7 linked regions of the Coturnix japonica genome follow. The protein of the gene in region 3 purifies or fractionates together with the protein of the main gene of each other region. This does not show direct contact. Links are inferred from orthologs where the notes say so. Each region holds a gene or a part of one and is shown on either strand. Other genes may lie near its edges.

Region 1 (3,451 bases), about 4.9 Mb from region 3:
GGGCAGGAGATTAGCAGAGGATCATCAGGAGCTTCTGAATTGGGCTGATGTAGTGTATAAGATTAAATGAAGAAAGCTGAGGTGTCAGATCTCTACTGCATATTGGGGGGAAAAAAACACACAATAAAACCAGCAACTATTGCAACCTTCATATTACATAGTGCAATGTCAAATGTCAATAACAAGTCAGCATCTCCAAGTAACGTAATAACATGAGACAAAAAATTGCTTTCATCAGGAACTAGTAGTGTTTAAGCCTTATTTCCCTATGGAACTATTCTAAAATCTACCTTCCATCTGGTAAACAAATGATTTGGACACCTGTATGCAGGGATCCAAGACTTGCAACTCCCAGGTAGTTTTAAAAAAAATAATCAAAGTTACAAAGCTCAATACAGGACACTAAGAAGCAAGTCCCCATAACTCAGCCTTTAGTACTTGCCTCATTACACCATTCTGAAACATTTAAGTTCATCCAATATTTGACTTCTACATCTATTTCACAGAATCACAGAATTGTAGGGGTTGGAAGGGACCTCTAGAGATCATCGAGTCCAACCCCCTTGCCAAAGCAGGTTCCCTACACCAGGTCACACAGGTAGGCATCCAAGTGGGACTTGAATATCTCCAGAGAAGGAGACTCCACAACCCCCCTGGGCAGCCTGTTCCAGTTCTCCATCACCCTCACCGTAAAGAAGTTCTGGTGCACATTCATGCAGAACTTCCTATGTTCCAGCTTATGTCCATTTCCCCTTGTCCTGTCTTCACATACCACTGAAAAGAGACTATTTCTTCTTCAACCTCCTTCTTAAAATCATCTGTTTTTTCCTCTTCCTAACAAACAGATGGCTCGTGCTTTACTGGTGTTCAGACTATTCTGGCTGACTTCGTCATTTAGATGAGAACCAGAAAAAACAGCCAAATTCCATAAAATGCTACCAAAGTGCTTGGATCCCCTACTTGGATTTTGTTAAAGATTTAATTTACTATTAAAGTCCAAACATTTAGGAGTATTTAATTTTACAATACCTTACAAGTTTATATTGCAGTTGGTAACGCAAGAGCACCAGGATCTCAATGATAAGTCACCATTACGAAGCAAGTCTATTTCCATTTTTACTGAGCTTGCAGTTCTAGATCCAAGTGTGTAGAAAATCAATAATTTAAGAAGAAACTTTAAGCTTATTGCTTTGAAAGCAGCTCCATAATTTACTGAGTATAGAGACTGCACATTTTATCACATTTGACTTGGTCATTCAGTAATACATAAGGCTGATGAGTGGTATCAAAGTCTGGTAAAGCTGTAGTGGTCTTATGTCAGATGTCTTTAAGAGACAAACCCGCCAAATTAGCTGTAAATTCGTCATGACTGTGCTTTTGCACAGGAAGCAATTAAAATAAGCTATTCCTGAACAAGTACTCATATAAACTAACAGATAACGGATTTTAATCTTTCTAGTATAAAAACCCAAACCCAACAACTCACCACATCAACAGAACAAAACATTCTGTTGCGTTATTGTCCATAAAAACCACCAGGAAAAATAAAGATTTATCTGGGACAATGACAGCTTCAACTCTTCATACAAGTGAAATCTTGCAGATATCAGTAGGCTGCTCATAGAAATGCAGGTTCGTTATCTAAGCATAGAGCTGCTACTTACCCACAGAAAATGTGGGCTTAATAGTCTTGTCTGTGATTTGCTATTAAATAATGGATTCTAATTTAAAGCGAGAGAGTACAAGCTTAGTTTTCTGCCTTTAAAATAATTAACTGTTCCCAGTGTTGTAAAATACGGTCAACAAATATAATGGTCTAACAACACAGGAAGTATTGAGTTCAGAAGAGGGGAGAGTAGGAGGAACGTTTTTTTCCTTAGCATCTATAAATGGAATGGTTTCAGTTCATTGGCAAAAGTCAGAATTTCATTTTTCTTACTGTAAAACCCTACAATTAATTCAAACAACAGATTCTAATCACTGGGTGTTTCAGTCTCTGCCGGGCCTCTGATGAGTCTTCGTATTCCTCTCTTTCCTGCAGGACCTTTTGGTTTAGCAAAACTTTGCTTATGTGCATGTTGTTTCGGATGAACCTCTTCATAAAGAAAGTCAGCAGTTAACTCATCACCATTATCTATTTCAATCTGAAAAAAGAAAAAACAGTTACATTCAAGACATAATAAAACGCAGACATTCTGCTCTAAGAGCTATATTAAAACCCATATGTGCAGTAATACTCAGAGTCCAGCATGAAATGTTCTCAAACTTGTTTCCATTGTAAAATGCATTAAAAAAAATCACTCTTGTGAAAGCAATACGCATATATATTGTTGTCCCTTGAGAACAAAAGGGAGGAGTATAAACAACTCACGCAATTAATGAAGTACTGCAACTCAGCAAGTATTCAAGCCAGATAAAAGCTAAAACAAATTTAATTAACAGTCTGGGATTTTTCTTTGTTTGTTTTGTTTTAAATGTAAGAATGTAAACCTGAAAGAAAACACTGTTTTGAAGCCAAAGCCCAGGTTTTAATTACACAAATTCAGAGTTCAGACAAATGCTTTGGCACTGCCCTGTGGGTATTCAGCATTTCACGGCCCCCTAACTATAGCACTTGCCAGCCACTGTATTGCCATTGCAAGTACATGACTCAAAAAGAGGTCTACAGGAGTTTCAAGCACCACGTGGTATATCTGCCTCATTCTAATGAAGAAATTTCTGAGGAATGATATATAAAACCACGCAGCAATTATATCTACTCAAGTAAAAACTTCTTTCAGGTAGACACAATAATCAGAAACCAAGATTCAACATTATTCTAAACTTAGAGCAGAAGTGTTAACAGGTCATATATTTCACAGATGGACCATTACTGTGGTCTCTGCTCTGGAAGTAAGAAGCCACTTGTTCTTTATGCACAGTAGTATAATCTTTGCAGTGGAAAGATCAGCATTCTCCTAAGTCCTTAATTACCCCACCAAGGGCTCCTAAGATGCAGTTTAAGTTCCAGAACTGCTGCTTCATCTTTCTTTCATTTTGAAAATCATTACGTAATCTTGGCCTTGAGGAATTCAGAGTTCAGCAATAACAAGCTGTGATCCAAAGAACGACAGGCCTTTTAGTAAGAAATCACGTTACTTCTGAATAGTCCTTCAGAGGACTTTCAAACACTATTGCACAAGAACAGGTTTACTAAAACTATGTAGAAATCATGAAGCTCACTTCATAAGTATTTCTTGTTCGGGAGAAGCTCTTAAATAGGTCTTTAATAGCCATACAGCACCTTTAATTGTTTACAGAAAGCGGTGGCAGAAACAGTTATGGTTAGATATTAAAAAGGGAATTGAGGGACAGAGTATTCCCAGCATACTTACCTTCCTAATTATCTGCATCCACAGCTGTCTTTCTACAATTTCTAGCAGTGGACTTTTGCAACTAGAGTAAAGCATTC
Region 2 (4,350 bases), on a different chromosome or scaffold from region 3:
GTTAATGGAAGATTTTCCTTTTAAAGCAAATTTATCTCCTTTAAAAGGAAATTAATCTACGGAGATTTTTTAATCAAGCTGTGAGTTTCTCTATCATGCACACTCATGTCTTAAACCTACACAGGAAAAAAACAACACACAACCATAAGAACTCACAAGAAACATCCTCAAAATAACATTAAATCTCCAGTGCTATGAAGTGTCAGCAGAGAAGCTGCTTTGAAATACCAGAGCGTTCCTTAGAAACGAGGACAGTCAAACAGCCTTTATAGCACTGACCTATACAGTATTCAATGGTCAAAACTGCTAAACTAAACATGATTTAGGAGACTGATAAGAAACACGCAGCACGTCATAAGGAATTGTGACTCAGATGTGGAAATTCATGCTATCCTTACAGAAAATGAAGGCTAATTGCTACATGGAACAACAACAGCCGTTGTCTGTATACACTAAAAGTTCCATTAAAGCAGTACACAATATGTTTCACTTCATACCACTGCATGCCTTTAACAGCACGCACATTTAACTTTTTAAAAGCTCAACACCATCCTCCCTTACTTCAGCAGCGCGTCCCCATCCAGTGTCTAAAGATAGACTTACACAAGTAAACCTATTAGGATTATGCCATTCTTAATACTCCTGATGCCCATTTTAAAGTCACTGACTGGTTAAGATGCACCGGATGCATAGTATAGGGCTCCTTACACTCCAAAGGCAAGCCTAACTAGAGCCTATATCGGCCAATGCCATTTTCTTACTTTTTGATGTTCTTGCATTTCGCTCCCAGAGTTGTTCCTCACTTCAGCAGCTTTCTCAGGCTTTACTTCACTGGTCGATGATGTTGGACTTGAAAACCTAAGGCAAAAAAGCTTCATTCAGTTCTTTCAGATCCAGATGGTTAACATTTACACTTTCTACCAAAGCAGACTGATGATACATCATCTTGTCCCAAAAAGAAATCACCCAGAAAGTATACTTCCTAGGGAGGAAACACTGCTATTAAGTGTCACAACTAATGGTATTCAGTGGTTTTACTGCATCTAGACCAAAGGACTAACAATTTTTCAGGCAGCAATGTAGCTTATGGTATAGCATAAGATTTTTGTAATTCATGATAATGTAAAATAGTTTTTTAAAAAAGTTATTAACATTCTCATGCCTCAGTAATAATATTTTCATTCCAATGCTGGAAGGGAACCTCAAAGGTCACCCAGTCCCACCTCCTGCAATGCACAGGGACATCCAAATCAGGCTGCTCAGAGCCTGGTCCTGCCTGACCTTGAATTATGGAAGTCAATGAAGTCAAGAGAATTGAGCAGAATATTTCTGAAACCTACATCTTTGTCAGGTCTGCAGAAAGAGGTCGAGATTGAAGCGATCTACGAAGATTTCCTGGCTTAGCATCAGTGCTTTCTGTTGTAAGTTCTTTGATTCTCTGCTGGATGTTCACGCACTTGTTTTCCCTCTCAGCAGCCGATGGGAGAGTCTCTGTATCTACAGAGGCACCAGGATTTTCTGACGTGAACAAACTGATGTGTTTCTTAACACTACCTCTTACGATGCTGTTCTCCTTCTCTGAGGAAGCTGCAGGGCTTTCACAGCTGAGAAACACACACGTTTCCTTTTGATCCAACCTCTTCCCTTCCCTGTTTGTTCTGCTTTCACCGGCACTTTCAAAGGCTCTCTCAGAACTATACAAATTAGTCACTATGCTTGGTTTTGTCTCAGTTTGCTCGCTTTCAGATTTCTGCTTTGTTTCCCACGTGTGTTTTCCTTTATTTAGGATGCTAATCTCCTGACTACTGCATTTCAAATTTGTTTTTGAAGAGCTGCCTTTATTAAATTCAATTTCTTCAGTTTTTGGCCCCGTTTCAGACTGACCATGGCTGCCCACGTCAGTAAAAGAAGTTACTGATACAGTCTCCTTGCTCTCATGGGATGAGCAAGCCTTCTTGCTCGTAGAGAGGTCTTTAAGTTCAAATTTAGCCGTCAGGTCCATAGACAAAGGCCTTGGTTTCCTAACCCACGATTTCTCCGTAGGAGACTTTTCCTCTGAAGCTTCCACAGTACGATGCGTTTGATCTCTCAAAGATTCCAGAAAAACAGCAGATACTGGTCTAGGTTTTGGCCTTTGCTGCACATCAAGAGAGATACCCACTTTATTGTTTATGTTATTTGCATCAGTGTTGGTTTTCTCCACTGAACGATCTTCAGGAGCATCTTTCTTTTCTCCAGTTTTGAGGGAGTTCCAAGAGACTGGTCGAACACTGGAGGAAAGCAATATCTGCCTGTGAAGAGACCCTTCAGGACTCCTGGATGTCTCATGTGATGGTTGAGATGGTTTCTCCTGCTTCACATTGCTCTGAGACTCTTTTGTCTGTATAGTACTCAACACCCTGTGGTCATCAGCAGCCCTTTTTCCTTGGGCCAGGCTTACCTTTGACTGCTCCGTGCCTGCTGTCTCAAAAAGAATGACAGTATTTGTATTGTGACCACTATAGAAAGTCATGTTTGTGACGACTTCACCACCAGCCTTGCTCTCATTTCCAATGACTTTTTGATCTACTAACGGAGGAACATTTCCAGCTGATACCTTGGCAGACGTGGTTTCTTCAGAAGGCTTTCTAATAAGACTGCTTGTTCTAAAAGACGTAATAGGTGGTTTTACATTTGCAAAAGTATCTGAAGGCGTATCTTTAGAAAAAGGTTTGGGGAAGAGTCTTGGCCTTGATCCCAGCGACGGCATTGTTGCAGATCTCAGAGTGCTCCCAAATTTGCTCTTCTCTTCAAGCGTTAGCGATGCTGAAGGCTCCTTTGCTTTGCTGCTTACATCTGAGAGCACACTTACATACACTCGCTGTGATTTATCTTCAGTTCTGATCTCATTTAAGTCAGGCACAGTCGTCAAAGACGCCAAAGTAGAGTTTATCTCAACTCTTGTTGCCATAGTTGTAATTATACATTCAACAGAACTGAAAAAATCCAACAGAGAAGGAGAACCTACAAGGAAAGAAAACACAAGCATTGCTGTAGAGTCGGTACAAACATCCAACAAATTAATTCTAACTTGAGTTCGGGAGGTAGCTAAGCTCAAATTAAGGTGTGTTTCAAATGTGCAGGTGCATCACAGAACAAAAAGCTTATTTCTCTTAGGAAGAAAAAAAAACCAAACAGCAAAACACACCATGATTCATCAGCTAGGCCCAACAAAAAACATAGCAAAACCTACAAACCCATCTGTACAGCACCAAGTTATCAATACTCAAGCAAATTTCATGGGTTAAATTGCTTTAAAAGGATCATTTATTTCTAAAGCAGGCTTCCCCATGTCAACGTACAAACCCCACTCCTTTTCACAATACACATAGTTGGCAAGTATATCCTTTCACACTACCAAAAATATGGAGGTCAGCATGACTGAAACTTATTTATTAGCTACGACCTGCAGCTAAACAGAAACAAACACATATCCCATGCATTTCCAAAAGCCTTGCTGCTACTCACCGTGATGTGCATGTTCTGCTGCAGCTGATGGATCTGAGCCCACTCACTTCTCATAGTGAAAAGTGGAGTTTGCCAAGATCACACTAAGAACCAGGGAAAGGGGTCACTTCAGCAGCACAGATCAGACCTTCCCTGCAAATCAGAGAACATTCAGAGTGTGGCATGGCACGCAATCAGATCTACACAGGTAATACCACTGGAGACAAAAATACAGAGTATTTCAAGGCAAAAAACTGGCTCCTGCTCGGAAACAAAGGCACCAGATTTAACCATATGGATTAAGTGAATGTGTAGTTTTCAGTTATTAAAGAATCAACAAGAAATTACCACCTGAATCACCTGCAACTGTGAAGGGTAAATAATTTGGTCAGCACAATAGTTATTAAACGCAAACACAGTTAAATCCACATTTCAATGAGTACCATTTGCAAATTCAAGTGCTGTCAACCACTGGCTAAACACTGAGCTCTGTGTTACCGTAATCTCAATTACTGTAATTTACTTTCTATTGTAAATCTCCTTTCTGCGACAACATTATTGGGAAGGCCTACCTGCAGGCTGACCTTCAAATGGCCCATTTTCAACATAAACACAGCTTCTACAGTGACAAAGCAGTTTTTCCTACACCTCCCCGATAAAGGCAGGAGATTAGCTCTGCCTTTAATCACATTCTTACTGCAGAGATGAAGGAAAACCAGCAGCAGCAGCCTCCCCTCCAGCTCACCTTGCCAGGCCCCTTCACCTCCCAATGCACTCAAACTGCTTTCCCAACCACTCACCCCAAACCCCTCCAGTCTGCAACCTCTTCTTTCCAAAATAGCCCCCAACCCAATCAGCTTATCG
Region 3 (4,350 bases):
CTTGTAGAAGAAAAATATGGCAGAAAAAAAAAAATAAACCCACAAAAAACCCAAAAAAACACAAGCAAGCCAAAAAGCCCTCCTACACTGAAAGGCAGGCTGATCCCAGAACTGTTTTAATAACCTCCTGCAAAATATGTGTACACATTCCAGGGAACCAATCCAGAAAGCCAAGTTCTCCTGCCTACCGCATGACAGTCAGACTTGCTCTTGCTTCAGGAATTCTGCATTCCTGCTTGGAGAACATATTTCTGAATGCATTACAGCCAACAGAAAGGGAAAATTCTTAATGAGGGAGATGTAAATTCGAAAATTTCAGATAATAGAACGACTTACACCAAAGGCTCCTATCTTTCTAAACAACAAGGTGGGCAACATGAAACAAAAAAGCTACCAGCACTTTTGAAGAAAAAATTCCCTCCTTCAGAAAGGGGCTGCCCTTCACAAAGCTTCTCTGTGTAATGTGGGATTCAAGTTTCTACTGGCTCCCTGTACAGGAAATAACCACAAAACTGAAACAGGTATATACCCATTAAAGACAAGCACATCTTCTGAAGCCCTCAGAATCATTACGTTACTTTGCAATGATCACACAAATATGCAGTTAAGCAGCTAATACGTAACTAAATTGTTCTCTCTCTTTGGCTTCCTGGGCTCCCCAGTTCTCTTGAAATATTTAAAACATTGGCCTAAGTCTCTCCTTATAACTGGGTACTTCATTCATCAGGACACAGTTAGGATAAGCATACCTGAATTTTCAAGATGCCAGCCACCTGAGTGGTCGAAGGGGAGATTGTAAACTTCCATTCCGACCTCCAACGGCCATTCCTTTCAAAAATAAAAATCGAAAACCAACATTTCACCTCATTAGTTAAGGGGAAAAAAGCCCAACAAAATATATGACTGTCAGTCAAAAGAAAAGAACAAAATACCCAGTAGAACTACACATGCACAATATCTTTCAGATCATAAATATTCAGCCCATAACCAGTCATGAGGAGAACAGTTTCCTGGAATACTTATCCCAGGATTTGGAAGAAGACCAAGGACATTCATTAGTAAGGAGCTTTTAACAACAGGACTTAGCTTCTGAAAATATCTAAAGGCTTTAGTGTTCTTTCCTTCTTTATTACTAGACATATATAACCATTTTTTTTCCCTTTCCAAGACTTGGAAAATTTGCTAACTCAGCCAAATCCACACTTCACAGAAGGCTAACAAAATGTTGAAGGGAAGGAACCTTAAAGTAGCAAGACTGTCTGCTAGTGCTGAAACTCTTAACTAGATCTTTTAGCTCTTCTACAATTTCTGTTCCAGGGCATCTTGTTTCCATCCAGTAGAAACCAACTCAATAATCTCGCCTAATTGCTTAAAGGAGTTCCAAACATCTGAATAGCAGTATGGGGAGACTGTAGTTTCACCTGATTTCTTCCCTGTAAATTAGGCATTTTCACTTCAGCTAGTAGGTCAGTGGGTTAGAAGGTTGGTACATTAAAGCTGTGTCAGGATGGTACTGTGGCCACATCTTGATTCCTGTTTTGTCTGCACTTAAAGAAAAGCTTCAATACTCTGAGATCCAATTCTACTACAGCTACGTGTAGATTCCAGAGCACTCAATGATTTCTATAGTACAGACAGAAAAGCTTGGTGGGGAACCACAAATGGTATCCATGCACTTCTCTGACCTTAGAATAATCAGTGTAATGCCAATAGCGCAGTTGTTCAATACACTGTATTTCACTGCATTTGTATCCATACAAAAACTTACCAAAAGTTTTTTGCTTGGAACTGATGGCTCTCTATGCATGCAATAATGGTTTGCTGTCCATCAATTGTTTTACCATACACCTTAGTTAGAAATGAAAAAAGCAGAGTTAACATTTCAGCTGTGCTGTTCGAACTGCCTAGCGCTATCCAGTCCTAGAATACATTCCAATTAACTGCAAAATTCTATTTTACAATCAGTATGATTCTTATATAACATTCAGTACATTAAACATGATTATATATTAAGAAGAAAAGTAAGATTAGAAAAATCTAGACGTCAAGTATTTTAAGCTGTATATACTGCAAAGGCTTTTGTTGCTGTTTTTGCTTTTTCAACTAGAAACTTCAAGCATACATACTGTCATGGAAGTATGTCATGGTACATACTGTCATGGTGGAAAACCTAGTCTTCAGGGCCATCTGTAATACATTTGGCAGTGCCACTGGTATTGCTCTTCTCTTTCTCCTCGCACTTTTCATAGAATAAAGGATGGCTGCACTAATGAGAGCAGTATTTTGAATTGTTAATTTAATTCTATGCCACGCAGTGGTCAGATAGTTTAGGACTTACTGTGCATACACCGTTTGGGTAGTGTTCTTTCACATACGCCTTCATTGCTGTTTCAACTGAATGTCTCCAGGATTCTATGGCATTTTCAACTTCGTGGGGCCTTGGATCAGTAGCCTCCTTTCTCAAGTGATCAAATTTAAAAGAAATCTTGTTCTTGGGATCCAAAAACTTCCCATTTCCCAAATCACCATGTTCTGTTATCAAAACCTGTGTTAGCAAATTTTAGTTAATTGTACCAGGATCAAACAAAGAAGAAAAAATATATATATCACACCAAATTGTAAAATTGTACGTTACAGTGCACACTTAACTGAAGATTCCTCAGAGTCACATTTGAAACAAACTATTTGTGTATATTAAGGGAGTTAATGTATGTTACTGGCTAACAGGAAGCACTGACACAGAATCAAAATCCACATTACTACCCTCTTACTGACACAGAAAACTCAATTAGAAGTTCTTCTCTATTATCTATAATGGCTTCAAGTACTACAGGTAAACAGTTCCCACAGCTCCAAATTAGGCCTAACTGAATGCAGGACAATAGCACAGAATTAAATTGCAAGCTCTTTAGATGCTCTAAAAGACTAACTTGCTAAACTGGTACCATTGTTGGGCATAACACATATATATTATACTATATACACATAGTATATACATACTATATTTTAGTAGAGAAGATGCATTTCTTTTCCTTTGCTTTCCAAGGTATGTTCCAGTACCAGAACATCTTTAAAAATGTAAGGAATGTCATTGTATTCATACCTGTTCGTCATAACCGTCAATTTTTACTGGAGTAAACTGGTCCAAGTTGTACTGTGCAAATGCACTACAAGAGGAAAAAAATACCAAAAACCTGCATCAGACATGAGCTTTTTTCTTTAGTAGATATAATAGACTTAAACAATAGTTAATTATCTAGATAAAAGAATTATATTACTGCCTCATTATTTAGCAGGCCCTAAAATATGGGCTCACCTTGATTCGCTTGGCACTGATATTGCTATTCCAATCGTTACACAATGATTCACATTCAAAAGTAACCTCATATAGACAGACACTTCAGCTTTACAGTATCCCACAGAAAGTGAAAGAACAGAAAATGTAAATTCCACTGAGTTCCTTCCTATTCAATTAAACGTCTCTATTCTGGCAGCGGAAATTAAATCTGGCATGTAATACTTTAGACATAATGTTTTCATATAAAAATAGGGTCTTTCCTACTTCTGCAGGTCTAGCATCTACAACATCTACCAGTAAACAGAGAAACAAATGAAGAAAAGTGGAGACAAATTCCAAAATCCAGGTCACCCCTTTCAAAAGCAGCTACTCTAACTCATCAGGATACAAAATATTGTATCTTAATCAAAGATGCACAACACTCACAACAGGGTTTTATGTGCAAAAGCATCTTTTTAAATCACTTATTGCTAAGGGAAGCCTTACTGAACTGACTCTTATGCAATTCAGTACATGGCAGCTGGTACTTACTGGGCTGCTCCTTCCCTGAGAAGATTGTCATTATTAAGCAGCAACCGAACATCTGAAAGAAGATGTTTATAACACAGAAGTATATTTAATTCAAAGATTTGTTCCAGTCATGTAACAAATGGCAACAAATTACCCAAAACAATTAAAACCCAAACCATCCCATACCATATAAGTAACTAAGCAGGAAAACCCCTTGCTTCATATTTTCTAATTTTGACTGAACTAAATGAGAAACGCACTACAGAAATGGGATTCCTTCCAATACAGTCTGGTAAGAAGATACAAGCCATACCCTGTAGGCTTTGTGACAGCTAGAGGAATTTGTTGAACTAGTTTTTGGAGAGGTAAACAGCATACAATCCAAATAAGTTCACTTCTAAGAGATAAACTACAAAAAACTCTTGCACAGTATTGATGGTAGTGGTTATTTTAACTCTACAACACTAATATATCATCCCATAATATCTAAAGCATTTCTCTATATTGAAAATAATAATAATAATAAACTAGGAGATTTCAGG
Region 4 (4,308 bases), on a different chromosome or scaffold from region 3:
TCAGCTGTACAGAGCTCCTGCCGGGTGTTGTTTGAAGAGGAAGGGGGTTAATGGGATGCGCAGGGATGGCTGCCAGCACTGGGTGGGTCAGGCTGCCCTGTGTGGGTTGTGAGCGTTGTGCCAGAGCAGACAATAGGTCCCAGCATGTTTTATGAACTTCATATGATACGGCCTTGATTGAGTGAGCACTGAGAGCCTGAATGTCCATGTGGGGCTCCCAGGTGTAGCTCCTCTTGCAGAGGAGGACCCAGCAGGAGCTGGGTTGCTTGTTTGAGAATGTGGTGGGCGTGCTTCAACCTTGAGCAACTCTTGCTTTGCTTTATGATGTGTGTGAGGTTCGGTCTTCATCCAGTGCAGGACTGAAATGCCACTCACTGGCAATGATCGCACTGCAGCATGTATCCCTCTGCAGGCACAAACCACGGGCAAGAGGGATGATTTACTGCCTCGGCGTGTCTGGGCTCATTGCTCTCCAGGTTCCCATGTTGTGTTGAAGGGTTTGCTGTAAGCTGACAGCTGGGCCTTCTCTGTGGCCGTGCGGTAACCCAGGAACTGGCAGTGGAAACAGGATGTGTTGATTGAGTTACTGTGGTTTTCTTTGTACCCAGATTGCTTTTACTTGTGCACAGCACTTCTGTCTCCTGGTAACATATTTCATGGAGTTACAGTTGGGTCAGAATGAGCTTAAAGCCCACCCAGCCCCAACTCCTGCCATGGGCTGCTGGCCCCTTCCTGGTTCAGGCTGCCTCATCCAACCTGGAAATGATAAATCCCAGGGAGGAACGTTTGAACTGTGAACCCCCATTTTCCTTAATGGTTTCCTCACAGTTGGTTTTTCTGCTCACTGAGTTACAGTAGTAATTTACATCGCCATTAAGCTGCAGCCCGAGTTAACTCAAACACAACCTGAAACATGAAATCAGTCACAACTGCCTTAATAACAAAGGCTCAGTCCATCCTTTTAACAAGGAAACTGGACTCACCAGTCCCAGCAAACATTTCAATCTCTTTATTTCCAATTGCGTTGCTCATCTGCGATACAAAAGTCCAGTTTCCACAAAGAGTTATTTAGAACAAAAAACTAAAAGATTGATACGTAAACAACTGCGTACACCATTATAATGTGCAGAGCAGGGATGAGATTCAGCGCAGATCATGCCAAGATTGAAACAAGCATGAATGACAGCGGCTGGCTGCTGGTTGCAGTTTGTTGAGGCAGCACCTGCAGCTGTCTCAAAGCACAGGAAAAGCTGTACTTTTCTCATCTTCAGTCCCTTCTTTCAGCCTTGGTCCTTCTCCATATTCATAGACCAGTCCTGAATTCATCGAATATGAAGCTGGGCACGTGTGCTTCAACGACCTAAAGGAAAGGAGCTGGTCAGGTTCACTGTTCGTTTATGTGTTCTGCTTGTCCGTTAATGCTGCATTCTTAATCTACCATTTGAGCATGTGAGCCTGTTGACCTGAACAAGGAATGAGCACCGTGCCAGGCATGTAAAGTAGAGCAAGTCCAGAGCTGCGGGAGGTTGTTGGGCCCAGAGGTTCCAGACAGCACCAGGCTGAGGTGGGGAATGAGGGTAAGACTGGAAGAGTCTCCCTTTTAGCCCAAAGTACAGCTAGGAATCAGCAACTTTTCTTAACTAAGGTATGGACTCGACCAGATCGGATTATGCCTTATTTGTAATCTCATATGTAAATTATTTTTGCATCTTCAAATGCCGTTAAGTCACACTGCATCCAAGAGAAAGTGTCTCTACAAGCAAAGACTTTTAGAACTTCCCTTGTACGTGAAATACAGAAGCTGCACAGGAAGCCCTGCTTCTTTGGAAGGAAGGCAAGGCAACGAAGGGCCAGAGACTCAGACTTCCTGAACAGCTCTCAGCCTTAGACTCAGAGTGTTGCTACACTTGTTATTATTTCATTCCACAACATCTGAGAACTTTGGTTTTCTCTTTTCGTTTCCTGAAAGCCCCCCAGCAATGAGAAGATTGAATGGAAACAGGCTGTTCCTCCAGTCCATACAAAACAGAAAATCCTTCCTGTATTTTCCACCCTCTCTGAATCTTCTAGAAAAATACAGTTTCCATAAAGATACAAGGACTAACATCAAGATAGGTTACACCAAGCACAGAAGTAACACACGCTGTACAGAGCTCTTGGTTACACAGACACAAAGAAACCCATTTTGAGCCATTCCTGTCAGGTAACAGATTTCTCATCTCTATTTTAGTTTGGTGTTCTTTGACAGAACATCTACAAAGGGTAAAGGCTGCTTCTGGACATTCCGAGCAAGCCCATCGTTTTGGATGTTCATTTACAGATTCATTTACAAATGATGCCATATTCTAAAGTAGGCACAGCTTCAGGTATGCAGCTGTGGCATAAACCAAACTTAGTTCCCCAGAATAGGGCTCCATATAGAACGTGTACGAGTCTCTTTCCAACAGAAACTACACCTATTATTTAGAATACCTCATCAGAGCTTTTTTTCAGCCCCCTGTAAGAATGAAGGGAGAAAAAAAACAAAACCTTGCAGTGAATAGCACTTGAATGGTCTGAAAAGAATCCAGGCAGATTCAAGCTGGTGTAGAAACTGTTCTACCATCAGCTGCCACATCCATTAACATCCCCTATGGGCATCCCCCAGCTCCCTGAATTTTCTCTTGCTGCTGTGTTCAGACGTAGAGACACATTGCAGCTCAGTGAGGACAGCACACCCAGTGAGACGGGGAATTTGTTCTTACCTTCCTTGGTAGTTTTGTGTAGCGAATGTAATCCTCCAGGAACATGAGGGCAGCCACCACGTCAGCAGGCATCTCTGGTATCTTCTGGCTAATGTTAAGCAAACACGGAGACCACCATCTTACCACGTGGCTCCCTGCGTAACACTCTACTAAAATGCCAAGCTTCACACAATACTTTTTCCATTACATACCACGTGATTCCATTACAAGAAGAGACACACTTTAATCTTAGACTCAAGTCAAACAGTATTATTACGCCGAATGTACTACGCTAAGAAAAAAGCAGCAGAAGCCCTTAGTGGAGGTGACATAAGGAAAAGTGAAATGTGGATACCTGACGCACTGCTCCATCGTTGAACGAATGAACTGACCGATCAGAGTCAGAAACTGCTCCGTGTACCTTGAGTGGAACTGTTTCAACAAGGTGAGAAGCCCCAGAACTAAGGGAAGCCAGTCAATCTGATCAGCTGGCCGCTTGCACACCATGCCTGCACACAAAACAAACCCCAAAGCACATGTTTATAAAGCAGCCTATTCCTGGGGGCAGAACGCGTTATGTATTTTCATAAGATTTTCTTCTGGGCCTGTTCTGCCTGTCCACACTAAAATCAAAAACCAACGTCACGACTGTATTTCTCTCACAGCAAATGGCTTAGGGACATTAACAAAGGCATAGGGTGGAATGGCAAAGGCAGAAGTTTGGATGTTGTTTCCTGCACCACTTTATTTTGTTTTACTAAGTCGTGGTTTTAGCTAGGATAGAATCATAGAGATAGAATCAGGTTGGAAAAGACCTTAAAGATCATTGAGTCCATCCTCAACCTGACCATAGTACCCTAACTAACAACCCCCCACTCAATCATATCTCTGAGAACCACATCCAAATGGTTTTTAAACACATCCAGGGATGGTGACTCAACCACCTCCCTGGGGAGCCTATTCTGGCGCTTAATAACCCCTTCTGTAAGGAAGTTTTTCCTGATATCCAACCTAAACTTACCCTGGAACAACTTGAGGCCATTTCCCCTCATCTTGTCTCCTGTCACCAGTGAGAAGAGACCAGCCCTGCTCTCACTGTAAGCACCTTTCAGATAGTCAATTTTCCTTCTAGTAGCTGCCACGTAGTAGCTGTGTATTCAGGATGAGAATAATATTGATAGCACCGATGTTTTTGTTGCTGCAGAGCAGTGCTTACACTGAGCCAAGGATGTTTCAGCTTCTCACGCTGCCCTGCAGGAAGGAGCTGGGGGGCACAAGTAGCTGAGAAGGGACAGGGCCAAGGGGACATCCTACACCATACCGCACTATGCTGAACCACACAGCTAATGGGGAGCTGGCAGATGGTTTCACATAGGCTTTCATTAGATTCAGACAGTGGACAACCCGTACAGTACCTAAATTTTTGCTGTACTGAAGTTTTGGAAACTGTGAGATCAGAAACAGGAAGTTGACAGTGGGAAAATACGGCAGGCGTTTTGTTGTGATGTAGATCTGAGGAGAGAGGAAAATAAAAAGGACATACGTTTCCCATAACATGTTCCCCCTCAATTAACAACATGAGAGA
Region 5 (3,678 bases), on a different chromosome or scaffold from region 3:
AGTTCCTAAATGTCTGTGAATGGCATACAAGTCCACGAGCAGAGTTTCACAAGGTGGGAAGTTGTGCTGGCTGCTTGAGACAATGAATATCCCTTAATCAATTATTTTCACGTTTCCTTTCAGAAAAACCAGTCCTTCTAAGCAGACACTCTTTGGATGGCTCTAAATTGATGGAAAAAGTTGAAGCTTCACAACCACTATGGATCACATTAGCGCTGCAAAAGCAGAAGGGATTTCGTGAGCAGCAAGCTACTAGGGAAGAGAGGAGACAAGCCAGAGAGGCAAAGCAAGCAGAGAAGTTGGCAAAAGAAATTGTGAGTATCTTTAGAAATACCAACGATACCATTAAAAGTATGAACTAGTTGTTAACTATGCAAAGTATTTGCACGTGCAGTTGGTTTGTAAGGCTTCATAAAAACTAAGATGATAGTGGGTAAAAAGCAGCTTTAAGGACTGGAGTTCCCTTTTGTAAACTCCAGTAGGAAGTAACGTGCAACATCGTGACAATCAGTATAAACTCTGATGCCTTAATATTGGGGGCGTGGGAGTTAATGGTAATTGTAAGCCTGCCCATTGTGCAGCTGGTGCAGCTGAATGGTATGCAACACAGTTCTTTCAAAGCCTGAGTACTGCAATGCTCATTTATAGATGAACATTCATGTCTGAATTCACTTCTATCATAATACTTGGATACCAGACAGATGAATGAAATGAACTGTCTTACAAAACCTTCAGGTGCTTACAACAGGCCATACAAGCAGTGATGCTGTATGGATGGTAAAAAGGGAAGTGGTGTGGATAACTGTATATTTTAATGTCTGTGATGAGATCTACATTTCTCACAGACAGATCCATAGTCAGAGACATATACAGCAGTGGGTGTGAAGTCGCCCTGTTCTTCTGTGCTCTGTGTAACAGGTAGGGTGGTTCATACTGTTCAATATTTTGACTGAAGTGACACATTGAAAAAGTTAATTCTTTTATGAGCTTTAATAACCATCATTTCTAGAAGTATCAGAGCATTTGGATCCTTTGCATGAAAGGAAAGCAGAGGAAAGGACAAGCAATGAATGAAAGAATCAAGTGCGACACCTCTTACTTGTGGTTGCCTTGTGACAGACTGTTTCTCATTTACCACTTTTCCTCTGTTCTAGGCTGCTGTAAATAATCAATCAGATAATAAAAGCGGCAGCAGCAGCAAAACGAGCACACTGCAGAAATCTACAACCCAAGAAGGGGAGAAGAAAATTGAGACGGCTGTGTCAAGACTAGAACGAAGGGAGCAGCTGAAGAAGTCTAACACCCTTCCAACTTCTGTGACAGGTACAGATTCACCTTTGCTCTAGCAATAATACAGTTTTACGAGTGGTATTGCATGTTTTTGAGAAGGCCAATGATTTTATTCCTCTCTTCCCCCTACTATTACAAACGCATTTGTGTTCAGCACAACTCGCTGCAGTCTCATAAGCTGCCAGCACATGGTTTTAACTTGGTGTTCCAAGTTAATCTGAGGCAATTCTGAAAATCTTGTATAACTTAAAAATAAAAAGACCAATAAATGAGGCTCTTTCCCCATACCATATGCAACAAGTGTTCCTGGAACAAGACTGGTGAGCTTAAGGGAACATGATTTGCTATAAATTGCAACTGTAGAATTGTTTTGCCTCTACTTTGAGGGTTTGCTCCAGTGCAAGTGGTGCTGAGCCCCTACAAAACGCATCTGTGTGGCAGATAAAGCACATCACGTTCTTGTATGAGTACTCATTTCATGCCAAAATACAAACACCAATTAAATGAAATTGAGGGTATTGAGGGATTGTCATTTTGAATTTAGGATTTGTCTCTCTCAGCCAAGTACCTGGTTTGAACAGCTGGAACCAGAAAAAACTTACTCCTTTACTCATCACTTAGATAAACTGAAAAAATTGTGCATTCAAAAACAGATACATGAAATCCCATGACCTTTGGGAAGTAACTGTTGCAATGTTAGTTCTAGGCAAAAGGTTTTGGAGAGGAGTACAGATAGGTAAAGATTAAACCTTTTTATAAGCTACGCTGTAAATAATGAGGGCTTCTCTGAAGGTAAATAGAGGAATCAGCTGAATTTCAGGAGGAAAATCACTGATTTTGAATTTTCCTAAAGGGAAAGTGTAGAACTGTGCTGGTCGTAAAGGAAATAATGACTGGATATCCATATGATCACTGTCTACGGTTGGAGTCAGGCAGCCATTATCAACAGCACAAATATAATATAAGCCAGTATGTCTATGCTATGAATGGTAATGCACTGGTTTGGGTTTCCCACAGTGAGTAGGGTAGTATAAGCAGAAGACCAGGCTAGAAAATGTTTAAAATAGGTTTGCTGAATTCTCTTCTAATGTCTTAAAGTAAATAAATAAATTATAGTAATTGAAAAATGTGATCTATTTCAGGCTTGCACTTGAATCTTCTGCAACAGGATCTGCTAAAGAGAGTATAGCTTTTAAAATAGCATAAACTACTGCAACCTTTCAAATTATTGGCTTTCAGTGTCTGCCTACAGCAGTAGCTGCAATTTGAAAACTTTAAAATATTCAGAATGTGAAAATGCATCTAAAAGTAATTTGGACTGAGAACATTTAACAAAGCTTCTGAAAAAGGAAATTCTGCTCCTTCGTCATCTGATTATTTTGCATATAAGTAAGATTTAACTATAATAGAGTTGGAAATGAGTATTTTGTTAAATCAGAACAACTTAATAGAAATGAATTCTCTGAAATTCTCCCAACAGAGTTCAACTGAAACTTGTTTTGTTTCCTCCTCCCCACAGTGGAAATTTCAGATTCTGTTCCACCAACACCACTGGCAAAAGAGGTGGCCAAGAGATTCTCCACACCTGATGCAAACCCTGTGTCAACAGAACCAGCCTGGCTTGCACTGGCTAAGAGGAAAGCAAAAGCCTGGAGTGACTGTCCACAGATCATAAAGTAAACTGTAAAATGGCATCTCTATTGCTGCCTATTAACTGCTTTCTTTTTATTTATTCAGCTTTTAAACACATGACAAAACTGAAAATGCATGTATCGGAGGACTGGAAACTGAACCGATTACCATTTTGCTCTAGCTCACTGTAAAGCCTATTCAAGTCCATATATTCCATTGCTTTGACAAATAGCTAAGTGAGGTCACAAGAAATTTCAGAGCCAGTCTCTCTAAAAATTCAAGAATGCTCAAATACTGGATGAAAATTTTAGCCAGTATCATAACAAGGGGCAGAACTTCAGCAGCTCCTTAAATTCTCTTGAATTTGGTTCTGGAATTTTAGATCTCTGCAGTTAAGTGGAGATTTCAGGAAAGTTTTTCAACAGTCCTCTGTTGAAAATGAATGCAAGATGCATGTTCCCTTCTCTTACTTCTAAATTTTCTTAAGTGTTAAGCTGTATGAACTGTCAGTAGTTCTACCTGCTATTTAAAAGCGTCTTACCTAATGAAGAATGTTGGTAGACTTCTATCCACCTGCAAATGATAAATAAGGTGGTACCATTCAAATGCTGAGCTATCATGGGATTATTGTGTTAATATCCCCCTAGTCCTAAGAAGAAAACAATTCATCCAACTTCATAAAAAAATTACTCATTATGCTGAAGTCAGCAAGTTTTCAGCAAGAAGCCTCTACTCTGCAACTACCTGAAAGGAGGT
Region 6 (4,794 bases), on a different chromosome or scaffold from region 3:
TGCTCACCGCTAATAAAACGGAAAAGTGACTTCACAAAGTTACCAGATATCAACATGCAAGGCTGGCGAGTACATGTGCAGTCAAGATGATTCAGATAAGTCAGATAAATTTAGAACAACGCTTTCCTAAAAGCACGCGTTCACCAAATGCAGTGCACACGCAGGAGCTATATTCCAAGCGCTGATTCCAAACATCAGAACAAAAAATTTATTAGTGAAAATCTCCTTTTAAGAGTTCGCTGCCATCTGAAGTCCTCGACAATGTTACTCCTCGATCTGCCTTTAGTACTTCCATCCATCACTGGATTTATCCACATAAAAAGCTATAGGCTCTCCAACCTCGGAGGACTAAGCCAAATGCAGTGTGGCAACTTCGCATAGGACCGGCCTTTTATGGTTGGAACAGTAGAGCTTTGATACAGCTAATCTACCATAAATAGCTCTTGAAACTCAGAAGGATCAAATCAGCTGTTGCAACAGTCCCAGCCTGTAGCTGCTTCAAATCCAATTATACTGTCAGCTCTGTCTTGCAGCTTTCCTTTTTATTCCCCCCATCCACAACTTTTAAAGTCCCGCTCCTACAAGAAATTAAATGCTGCAGGGACAAACGTGACAGAATAAAACATGTTTCATAAAAACAGAAACAAACCAGCATGTATTTTTATAGTCCTCTTAAGGAGAAAAGGTTTTGCTGTATTAGAAACATCTTCAGCATTTATTGCCAGTAATTTTTTTAAATCAGCCCCAACTCGTAATGCAAACATACAGTCTGAAGTAAGCAAACAGTACCAAGAACAGTCGGCTCAGCCTTAAAGGTGGGTAAAAATAAGCAGATAAAACTTCATGGCGCCCTATCCATGGCCCAGATTAAGGTACTGAATTGCTTGCATATTTTTATCGTAACTTAAACACAACTGCAAAGCACCAGAAGTCACTGCTAAACCCTTATGTTACAGTGTTTCCTTTCTAGTATTTTGAACCATTTTCCCACCAAGAAGCTCAGGACTATAATTTCAGAACTCTTCAACACCTGGGTGCTTCCAAAATGAGTTCTTGCTAACAATGTAAGTCAAGAGAACCATGAAAAGCACCCCGAGGGCTGCCAGAGCCCTGCGACCCCGAGCACTCGGTGCAGTGGCACTGTGCTGAAAGGAGACACCCTTTGGATCCGGGGGAGGGCAGATGAGCAGTGTTATCTTTATGGTTCACTTCACGGTGCAAAGCAGCAGCACACAAGTACGTAAGGATACATAAACAACAGATGTATTTTTAAGTTTCCATGTACATGTTGTTTAGAAGAAGATGGTTTCAAGAATGCAGCATGCTGCTTGTGCTTATTTGTCTGGNCCTCAGTCTTTCCAAAACAAAGAGTTAAATTACTCCAGTACAGTGCAGGAACTCCAGGACTCCGAAGGAGATGATGTACCCTGTTCACAAAGTCTGAATCTGTTATTTGCTGGGACCTCTTTCAACCTGCACATTGCCTCCTGTAATAGCAGGAGCAACGTCTAGCACCGACATTGGTTCTTCTTGCTCAAGGCAGAGAGAAGAGCATTACTAACTCCCAGTGCTCAAACTGCTTTAGGAAGGGCCAGAAATATGGATCCTCTAGAAGCTAATCAAAGTGACCAAATAAAACATAAAAAATAGGTCCATCGTGGAAAAGTCTGTACCCCTTTGTCAGCTATATGCTACCTCACTCCTCACTGAGTTTCTGTTTATCGTATTATCTCAATTAAAGGGCTTGGGCTTTGCAAAGTATGCAACATACATCGAAGACAGGAGTCACTGCCTTCAATACTGTCTGCAGTGACAGTGGATGACAAAGTAACTTCAATTAAGTGTGAGTGGGTTAAATGAAGAGGTTTGTTGTTTCCTTCAAACAGTGCATGGAGAGCCCAGCTTTGTCACTTTGAGCAAGTCTCAGAAAAGTCAGTTGGATGTGGGCGCAGTTTCCCTTTAGGCCCTAGCAAGTGCCCAAACAAATTAATTCAGACGTACAGGGGACAGAGAGCTTTTCATTAGCATGGACTAAACTGAGCATGTGACAAGTAGATTGAACAGACCTGCAAGATGTGCCTGAATAAGTTCATCACTCTGAATGCTGCCTGTAGGACTTGTCACATTGTGCTGCTTCTGCACACTGCTGGAAAAGTAGCTGAACCAATTGCTGACAAAAGTTCAACAGAGCTCTTAGAATGCAGCAAGCATGCTTGCAACTGGTAAGAGAAAGAGCAATCGTCAGCACACTGCCAGAACACAAGTGCTGGCACTTTATGCCCTACCCATAACCATTTAACATCTTAGAACCTTTTTTTGCTGAGGAATTTAAAGGATGCGAGCTATGATATGGAAACACAGCCCCCTCCTCAAGGAGGACAACTGGGATTCCTTGTTTCTTTTAGACATACCACCCTATATCTTACTGCTGGCATTCATCCTCCCTATCACACAGGGTATTATGTTAAAGATTTCACTTCCATGGTAAATTAAAAAATAATAATAAAAATCCTGCATGTGCTCTTTTCACACATATTTCCTGAGCTATAAACATACAAAACAGAACTGATCGTCATGAGAATGCAGCACTTTCTTCCCCTTCCTCCCCAGCACAAGATTTCTGTAAGCACAAAGTAAAACAAGCTACTGACAGCACATTAGTTTGTCTCTAGCTCTTTACAGAAAGTGTAAAATCTGACTTGTATCATACAAAAATGATACTACTCCACAGGCCACAATGAAGACAGATGGAGGAGTGAATAAACACAACTTTGGTACCATGGTCTTGGGGTTATGTGCTTCTGTGACTAACAGTCAAGAAAAACCACACAGTAGAGTGCACACAGCTTAAAGTAGGCACGTCTTTATTTAACATTCAGCTTCCTAATTTACAACTGTCTTTTTTGCAGCTGGGGACAAGAGGGAAAGGCGAGATTTCCCAGAAAAATCAAAGACAAATTTAATAACAAGTGACTTACCAGCATCCATTGTTAGAATCATGACCCCACTTCTGCGTCCCAGGAAGCAGGAAGCCTTACCCATCCAGTGCATGCGAATGACTCAGAAGGACTGCATGGCTTTGTTTCAGCTTATATCTTCCAGCTCATTCACCCCTCCTCCCCCGTGTGGGATAAAAGTGATGCCTGTGCCTGACCACCCCCATTGGCTCAGTTCAGAAGCCACTCATTCAGCACATTCAAATTGCCGTGAGAGCCTAAAATGACCCACTGAGAAATTCTTATTTATCTTTTTTCAACCCAACCCACTTTTTGTTCCTCTGAGAGAACAAGCCATTCATTGTTTCACTATCAGACACATGCCGCAGTTGGCGTGATTGTCACGGGGCCAAACAAGTGCCTGTGCTCTGAACTGGGAGCGGTGGGCAGCAGAAAGGCATCCCCCAGCCCCAGTTCCATGGCTGTGGAAATAAGGACATACGTTTTATGCCACAGCCTGTGCCCTCCAGGCAGTTTCTCTTCAATGCAAACTACATACACCCGCAGTCTGAGGATCCCTGGTTTGCCAGGGAGGATTTACTCATCCATTTTATTTTTAAATAGGAGGATAGCTGTCTTACCAAAGGTGCACACCCAAACTCTATAGGTTAAACTCTGCAGTAAGGAAAGAGTTTTTTATGTTTGTTTTTTGTGTTTTTTTTGTTTGTTTGATTGTTTGTTTTTTAATCTGTAGGGCTTCTTAAATATAATAGCTGGTATGAGCTCAGCTCTGCCCAAAGAATTTAGAAAGCTGTTACAATCTATCTGTTAACCACCACCCCAGTTAGATAATATAGTCTTAAAAAAAAACAAACCATAACACAACATAAATGCAACTCTATCTGATTAAGAGACATCTCCTTCCTTTGTTAACTTTGATTGTACAATAAGAGAGACTAAAAAACACACACGGAAGGAGAGAAAGTGGAGGACATTTGTCTCTATGCCACACAATCCTCAAGAACTTACTGTGCAGCTGTGAAAGGCGAGTTCCTGCATCTCACAGTATGAGGTGTTGACAGACACGGTATCTGCACTTAGAGATTCAACAAACACAGTGAATGAAACACTGGTGTTCTTCATCTTTTGATAAGAACTACGTTTTCCAAATAAAGCATGGACATATTAGGCTGCCATTTCATCACGCTGCTCACCACTAGATAACCTCAGATTCATAACTATGATACAACCACAAGTGTATTTTGGAAGTGTTGCTTGTGCTTGTTGAAATAAACACAGCTCCCTCTCCTCCCCTCCTGTTTTTAGAACAGGTATCAGTTGCAAGTCTCACACACTAATGTTTGCAAGGCAGCAGTGAATTTAGAATCCACAGTTCAAAGGAATTAGCAAAAGCACAATAATTGAGTCATCACTTCCCACATTTCTTGACCTTCCCTTGCTCTGCACAGCTCCACACCAACAGTCTGGGGGAAACAAAATACTCCTAAACATGAAGATTTCTGATGTTTTCAGGGGTACACTGCAAGAAAAGTTTTGAAAAGAGACATGGGTAATCCAGATCATAGAAAACAAGCCCTAAACCTTTGCTTCTTGATCTCTATTCACTGAATTTCTCAGGTAGACAGACTGCTCCCCAAAAACATTCTACGGGTTTCTGTTTTCAGAAGGAATGTTTGAGTAGCAAAACAGTGGTTCCATCCAAAGTTCACAGCTCTCAAATTGTTCTTTTGTTGACCATAATCAATAACCAAGGACATGTGGCAACAATCCGTGCCACGTGCAGAGATGCATGCTGAACTTCTGGGAATGGCATAAGGCATAGCTTCCTTTCTTACCT
Region 7 (4,350 bases), on a different chromosome or scaffold from region 3:
CCAACCCTTTTCAGATTATCCTCTGCAGTGTTTCTCTAACTCTTTCTCCTCTGTTTGACTCTCCAGGGTCTGCTTGGCTGGTCACGGAAGGACCTGTGCAGTGAATTCGGTATTGGGAGATCTCATCAGGCTGGTGCTTTTGACTGGAGCCATAAGGCTGTGGCCAGACAGGGGGACTGGCCTGGTGAGATGGAGCAGGATCAAAAGTTCAGGACCAACTCAAGCAGGAACAACAGTTGTGGCATCAGTGATATGAACCAGCAGGATAGAGCCTTTGGTGCTGCTGAGAGGGACTGGAGCAGCAATTACAAAGGGACAGAACTGATGGGTGATACGAGGCTTGGCAGCAGTGACTGGTCCAAATCTCACGGTGCGAGGGAAAGCTGCCTGCAGGATCAAGACTTCAGCAAACCTACATGGGGTACTGGGTATGGCTTGGACAGTGCAGGCAGCAGAGAGGAGGTCAGCTCCGGGAAGGCTGAATGGGGCAGTCCCTACAGTGTGGGACATGGCCAGCAGCAGGACAAAGAGCTGAGCTCCAGACAGCCTGGCTGGGCTGGCAAGTATGGCTCTGGGGACCTGGAGGCCCATGGTGAGGATGCTTCACCTGTGTGGTCTACTGAGTATGGAACCGGTGATGCAGACATCAAGGACAGGGAGGTCACCCCTAGTGACTGGGCCAGTAAATACAGTAGCAGGGATGCTGAGACCAAGGACAAGGATTTTACTCTAGGCTGGGCTGGCAGATCCAGCACTGGGGACGCTGGGACCCCGGACAAGGAGTTCTGCTCCAGCAGATCAGCCTGGGACAGCAAATACAGTACCAGAGACATGGACAGCCAGGACAGGGAATTCAGCCCCAGCAGACCAGCCTGGTCTGGTGAATACAGCACCCAAGACATGGAGAGCCAAGACAGAGAGTTCAGCCCCAGCAGACCGGCTGAGGCCAGCGAATACAGCAGCAGGGACATGGAGATCCAGGACAGGGAGTTCAGCCCCAGCAGGCCAGCCTGTGCTGAAGAACACAGTACCAGTGATATGGAGAGCCAGGATGGGGAGTTCAGCACCAGCAGACCTACCTGGCACAGTGAGTACAGCAGCAGGGACATGGAGAGCCAGGACAGGGAGTTCAGCCCCAGCAGACCAGCCTGCACTGATGAATACAGCACCAGCAACACAGAGACCCAGGACAGGGATCTCAATCCCAGCAGACTCACCTGGCACAGTGAGTACAGCAGCAGGGACATGGAGAGCCAGGACAGGGAGTTCAGCCCCAGCAGACCAGCGTGTACTGATGAATACAGCACCAGGGATATGGAAACCCAGGACAGGGAGTTCAGCCCCAGCAGACTGGCTGAAGCCAGTGAATACAGCACCAGAGATGTGGAGACCCAAGACAGGGAGCTCAAATCCAACAAACCAGCCTGGGATGATGGATACATCACCAAGAACATGGAGAGCCAGGACAGGGAGTTCGGCCCCAGCAGGTCAGTCTGGGCCAGCGATTATGGCTCTGTGAACACCACAAAGGGAGAGTTTAGTTCTAGCAGGCTGAGCTGGGCTGGTGAATGCAGCATTGGCCAGACTGAACTGGCTAATGCTTTTGGTGTTGGAAAAGACTTGCCTGGCTTGTGTGCCCCCAGTCGCCCAGGCCATGAGTCCAGCTGGGGCAGCACTGACCAGTCGGAGAGTGGCACCAAGGACTGGGCTGAAGAGCTGCGCCTTGGAGGAGCTGAACACCAAAATCAGTTTGGCATCATTGGGACAGAGCGAGTGTCAGATTCCTCCAGCACTGCAGTGTCAGCGGACAGCCTGATGTCCTGGGCAGACAAGATGAGGTCTGAGGTCCCGCAAGAGTCCCGGCAGCCCCTGGAAGACTGGCACAGTGATCTCTCCTTCAGCACCTCAGGTGTTACTGGTAAAGCTGATGAGGGTGAACCAAACCAAATGGCCTGGGATGAGGGCCTGACAGCTGTGGGCAGCTCTGCCCAGCCCCAGCAGGCCAAGGTGGAGGAACCAGGCTGGAGCCAGGACCTAGAGGAAGCTGGCTGGAGTGAGGAGCTGCGTGAGGCTGAGGCCAGGCGCCAAGAGTGGGCCAGTGCCTTTGGGGCCCGCTGTGCCGCCAGAAGCCAGGACTTCAGTGCTGGGGAGCAGAGCCTGGGAGGTGATGACGGTTCAGCAGACAGGTAAGGAGGGTCTGGGTGGTGGAGATGGAGTCTGGGAGGTGCTAGCATTCCCTTGGCCTCCTGAGAAATTGGCAGAATGAGCCCCGTGCCTTTATCTTACCAAGATCTGGGGAACCCCACGCTCTAATTTCAGCCATACTTGAGCTGGGGATTTCCAAAATGATACATTTCCAGAAGCTGCTGGAATGTAAGGATGCCAGGAGGACAAAGGCAAAACTCCTGCTGGCCTGGATAAGGCCTCAGCCTTGTTCACATGCTGTGGTGTGATTCTCTGCTGGTCTTAAGGGAAACTTCCCAGAAGTGCCACCTGTTGGTGTGCATCTCATTTGGCCTTTGGCAGTTGACATCCCAAAGTAGGGGGAGAGTCCCAGACACCTGGGTTTTGTCTCGGGCTCACCCACATTCACAGGAACAGTGTTTGGCCTTCCCTGTGCCTTAGTTTCCCCTGAAGGCTGACAAAGGGAAATTGGGAGAGATTTGGGGCTGGGGAAGGGCTTGCTTGCTGGGGCTGGAAGAACTGTGTCTTCTTGTCTTCCTACCAGGAGCCCTGAAAACATCCATCTCTCAGACTCCAGCCCACCACTGGGTGATGATGCTGTGGCTGAGCCTGCAGCTGCTGAGCCCCTCTGGGGTGAATCGGCTGCCCCGCTGCCGAGAACAGATCCCATGGAGCAACAGGACCTTCCTGAGCTGGCTGCTGCCCCTTTGCCACCAGAGGCTGCTGGTGAGACTCTAGAAACAGTGAGCGAAGAGACCCCTTCGGACCACCCAGATGGGAAGAGACCGGTGAGCTGGGAAGAAAAGAGGCTCTCTGCAAGTGCCTCGCAGCCCGAGGGACTTCTGGACCTCTCTGGTCAGGATTTCACCTTTCTTGAGGTGAGTGGGGAAGAGGGAGCTTCTGACTCCCTCCTACAGCCCTAAGGGAGCCCGGTGGTCAGGGGGATGCAGAGAGAGGCTGCAGATGCAAGGCCACTGTATACTGTAGGAAGGCAGTCACCATAAGGGATCCATAGAAAGCAGTGGAATGGATGAGTGGGTGGATGGAGTGGATGGAGTGGAGACCCTGAAACTCCTCTGTGCTGGGCACTGAGCTGTCCCTTGGGCTTTGCAGGACACGGAGGTTCTGGACAGTACCATGTACCGCAGCAAGGCCAACCTGGGCCGCAAACGGAGGCACCGAGCACCTGTTCTCCGCCTTGGGGCCACTTCAGAAGGGGACAGTTGGATCTTCCAGGACTCCACAGGTGAGAGCCTGCAGGACAGTGAAAACAATAGGATAGTGGGATGGGGTGTTGTGCTCTTAAAGATGTCTCACAGTGATGCTCTCCCCCACAGAGCCCCGTCCAGCCCGTGCAGCAGCATCCTCTGATGAGGAGGCAGCAGAAGAACCCAAGAGCCGGCGGGTGCGAGCATCCCCATCGGGCAAGGGTGTCAAGGTGCCACTCTTCCCTGGCCTTACCACATCTGCCCTCAAGGTAAGGCCTGCTGGAACTCCAGGCAAGCAGATGAAAGGGACATGATTTCTAAAGGGTGGGCAGCAACAGGCAGGCTGAAGGACAGTCCAAGTCAGGCAGCATGGAGAAAGAGGGAGAGGATGCAGTAGAAGGATGTGAGGATGGTAGGGGGTGAGAGCACTGTGTACCCATGTGACTTCATCTCCCAGGCCAAGCTGAGAGGTCGAAACCGCTCTGTCGAGGAAGGAGCATCACCAATGGACAGCAAGGCAACTCCCACAAAGGATCCCCATGTACAGCGCTCCAAATCCTGCAAGATCCCTGGCCTGAGTGGGAAACCCCTGGTGCTGCCCCCTAAGCCTGAGAAGTCTTCAGGGTGAGTGCTGGGCTCAAGGGACAGTTGTGACGATGCTGGGTGGATGTGCCAGGTCAGGTGTTGGTGTGGGACTATGGACGTGCTGGGGACATTGGGGTGGGTTGCGAAGGAGTGGGTAAAATGGAGGTCTCAGAGGCATTGTGGGCAACGAAGCAGTGTTAGTGGGGTGATTGGAAGTACTGGGGGCTGTGCTCAAGTCCTACAGCTGCTGGCTCTGAGGAACCATGTGTTCCAGGCTGGTATTTGTGGTGCTGGCAGTTGGCCGGAGGCTGGGACGGACCTTGGGGCTGGAGCTGGGAGCTGGAAGTGAGGCTTACTGGGACCAGCATTCTCA

What was found.
Region 1: the proteins of CAPZA2 (region 3) and TWF1 purify together in Homo sapiens (affinity purification with mass spectrometry; 3 studies listed by BioGRID and IntAct, with this or other methods). This does not show direct contact. The link is inferred for Coturnix japonica from reciprocal best matches to the Homo sapiens genes CAPZA2 and TWF1.
Region 2: the proteins of CAPZA2 (region 3) and KIAA1671 purify together in Homo sapiens (affinity purification with mass spectrometry; 3 studies listed by BioGRID and IntAct, counting the BioPlex papers as one, with this or other methods). This does not show direct contact. The link is inferred for Coturnix japonica from reciprocal best matches to the Homo sapiens genes CAPZA2 and KIAA1671.
Region 4: the proteins of CAPZA2 (region 3) and WASHC5 purify together in Homo sapiens (affinity purification with mass spectrometry; 3 studies listed by BioGRID and IntAct, counting the BioPlex papers as one, with this or other methods). This does not show direct contact. The link is inferred for Coturnix japonica from reciprocal best matches to the Homo sapiens genes CAPZA2 and WASHC5.
Region 5: the proteins of CAPZA2 (region 3) and CRACD purify together in Homo sapiens (affinity purification with mass spectrometry; 3 studies listed by BioGRID and IntAct, counting the BioPlex papers as one, with this or other methods). This does not show direct contact. The link is inferred for Coturnix japonica from reciprocal best matches to the Homo sapiens genes CAPZA2 and CRACD.
Region 6: the proteins of CAPZA2 (region 3) and SVIL purify together in Homo sapiens (affinity purification with mass spectrometry; 3 studies listed by BioGRID and IntAct, counting the BioPlex papers as one, with this or other methods). This does not show direct contact. The link is inferred for Coturnix japonica from reciprocal best matches to the Homo sapiens genes CAPZA2 and SVIL.
Region 7: the proteins of CAPZA2 (region 3) and TNKS1BP1 purify together in Homo sapiens (affinity purification with mass spectrometry; 4 studies listed by BioGRID and IntAct, counting the BioPlex papers as one, with this or other methods). This does not show direct contact. The link is inferred for Coturnix japonica from reciprocal best matches to the Homo sapiens genes CAPZA2 and TNKS1BP1.

The regions. Positions count from the first base shown.
Region 1 is NC_029516.1:27,259,738-27,263,188, forward strand, and holds the end of TWF1 (twinfilin-1), read right to left. Parts: coding exon 3,375-3,451; intron 2,145-3,374; coding exon 1,974-2,144; 3' UTR 752-1,973; downstream 1-751. UniProt on the Homo sapiens protein: Actin-binding protein involved in motile and morphological processes. Inhibits actin polymerization, likely by sequestering G-actin. By capping the barbed ends of filaments, it also regulates motility.
Region 2 is NC_029530.1:6,064,668-6,069,017, reverse strand, and holds part of KIAA1671 (uncharacterized protein KIAA1671 homolog), read right to left. Parts: intron 3,640-4,350; 5' UTR 3,508-3,639; intron 3,004-3,507; 5' UTR 2,951-3,003; coding exon 1,341-2,950; intron 859-1,340; coding exon 762-858; intron 1-761.
Region 3 is NC_029516.1:22,316,322-22,320,671, forward strand, and holds part of CAPZA2 (F-actin-capping protein subunit alpha-2), read right to left. Parts: intron 3,882-4,350; coding exon 3,830-3,881; intron 3,168-3,829; coding exon 3,104-3,167; intron 2,546-3,103; coding exon 2,339-2,545; intron 1,849-2,338; coding exon 1,769-1,848; intron 829-1,768; coding exon 750-828; intron 1-749. UniProt on the Homo sapiens protein: F-actin-capping proteins bind in a Ca(2+)-independent manner to the fast growing ends of actin filaments (barbed end) thereby blocking the exchange of subunits at these ends.
Region 4 is NC_029517.1:125,011,211-125,015,518, forward strand, and holds the end of WASHC5 (WASH complex subunit 5), read right to left. Parts: intron 4,236-4,308; coding exon 4,139-4,235; intron 3,233-4,138; coding exon 3,079-3,232; intron 2,833-3,078; coding exon 2,745-2,832; intron 1,361-2,744; coding exon 1,304-1,360; 3' UTR 987-1,303; downstream 1-986. UniProt on the Homo sapiens protein: Acts as a component of the WASH core complex that functions as a nucleation-promoting factor (NPF) at the surface of endosomes, where it recruits and activates the Arp2/3 complex to induce actin polymerization, playing a key role in the fission of tubules that serve as transport intermediates during endosome sorting.
Region 5 is NC_029519.1:58,449,028-58,452,705, reverse strand, and holds part of CRACD (cancer-related regulator of actin dynamics), read left to right. Parts: intron 1-123; coding exon 124-314; intron 315-1,154; coding exon 1,155-1,323; intron 1,324-2,809; coding exon 2,810-2,970; 3' UTR 2,971-3,678. UniProt on the Homo sapiens protein: Involved in epithelial cell integrity by acting on the maintenance of the actin cytoskeleton. Positively regulates the actin polymerization, by inhibiting the interaction of actin-capping proteins with actin.
Region 6 is NC_029517.1:13,368,066-13,372,859, forward strand, and holds the start of SVIL (supervillin), read right to left. Parts: upstream 3,099-4,794; 5' UTR 3,052-3,098; coding exon 2,979-3,051; intron 366-2,978; exon of another isoform or gene 1-365.
Region 7 is NC_029520.1:7,738,395-7,742,744, reverse strand, and holds part of TNKS1BP1 (182 kDa tankyrase-1-binding protein), read left to right. Parts: intron 1-66; coding exon 67-2,186; intron 2,187-2,728; coding exon 2,729-3,062; intron 3,063-3,297; coding exon 3,298-3,430; intron 3,431-3,521; coding exon 3,522-3,661; intron 3,662-3,849; coding exon 3,850-4,016; intron 4,017-4,350.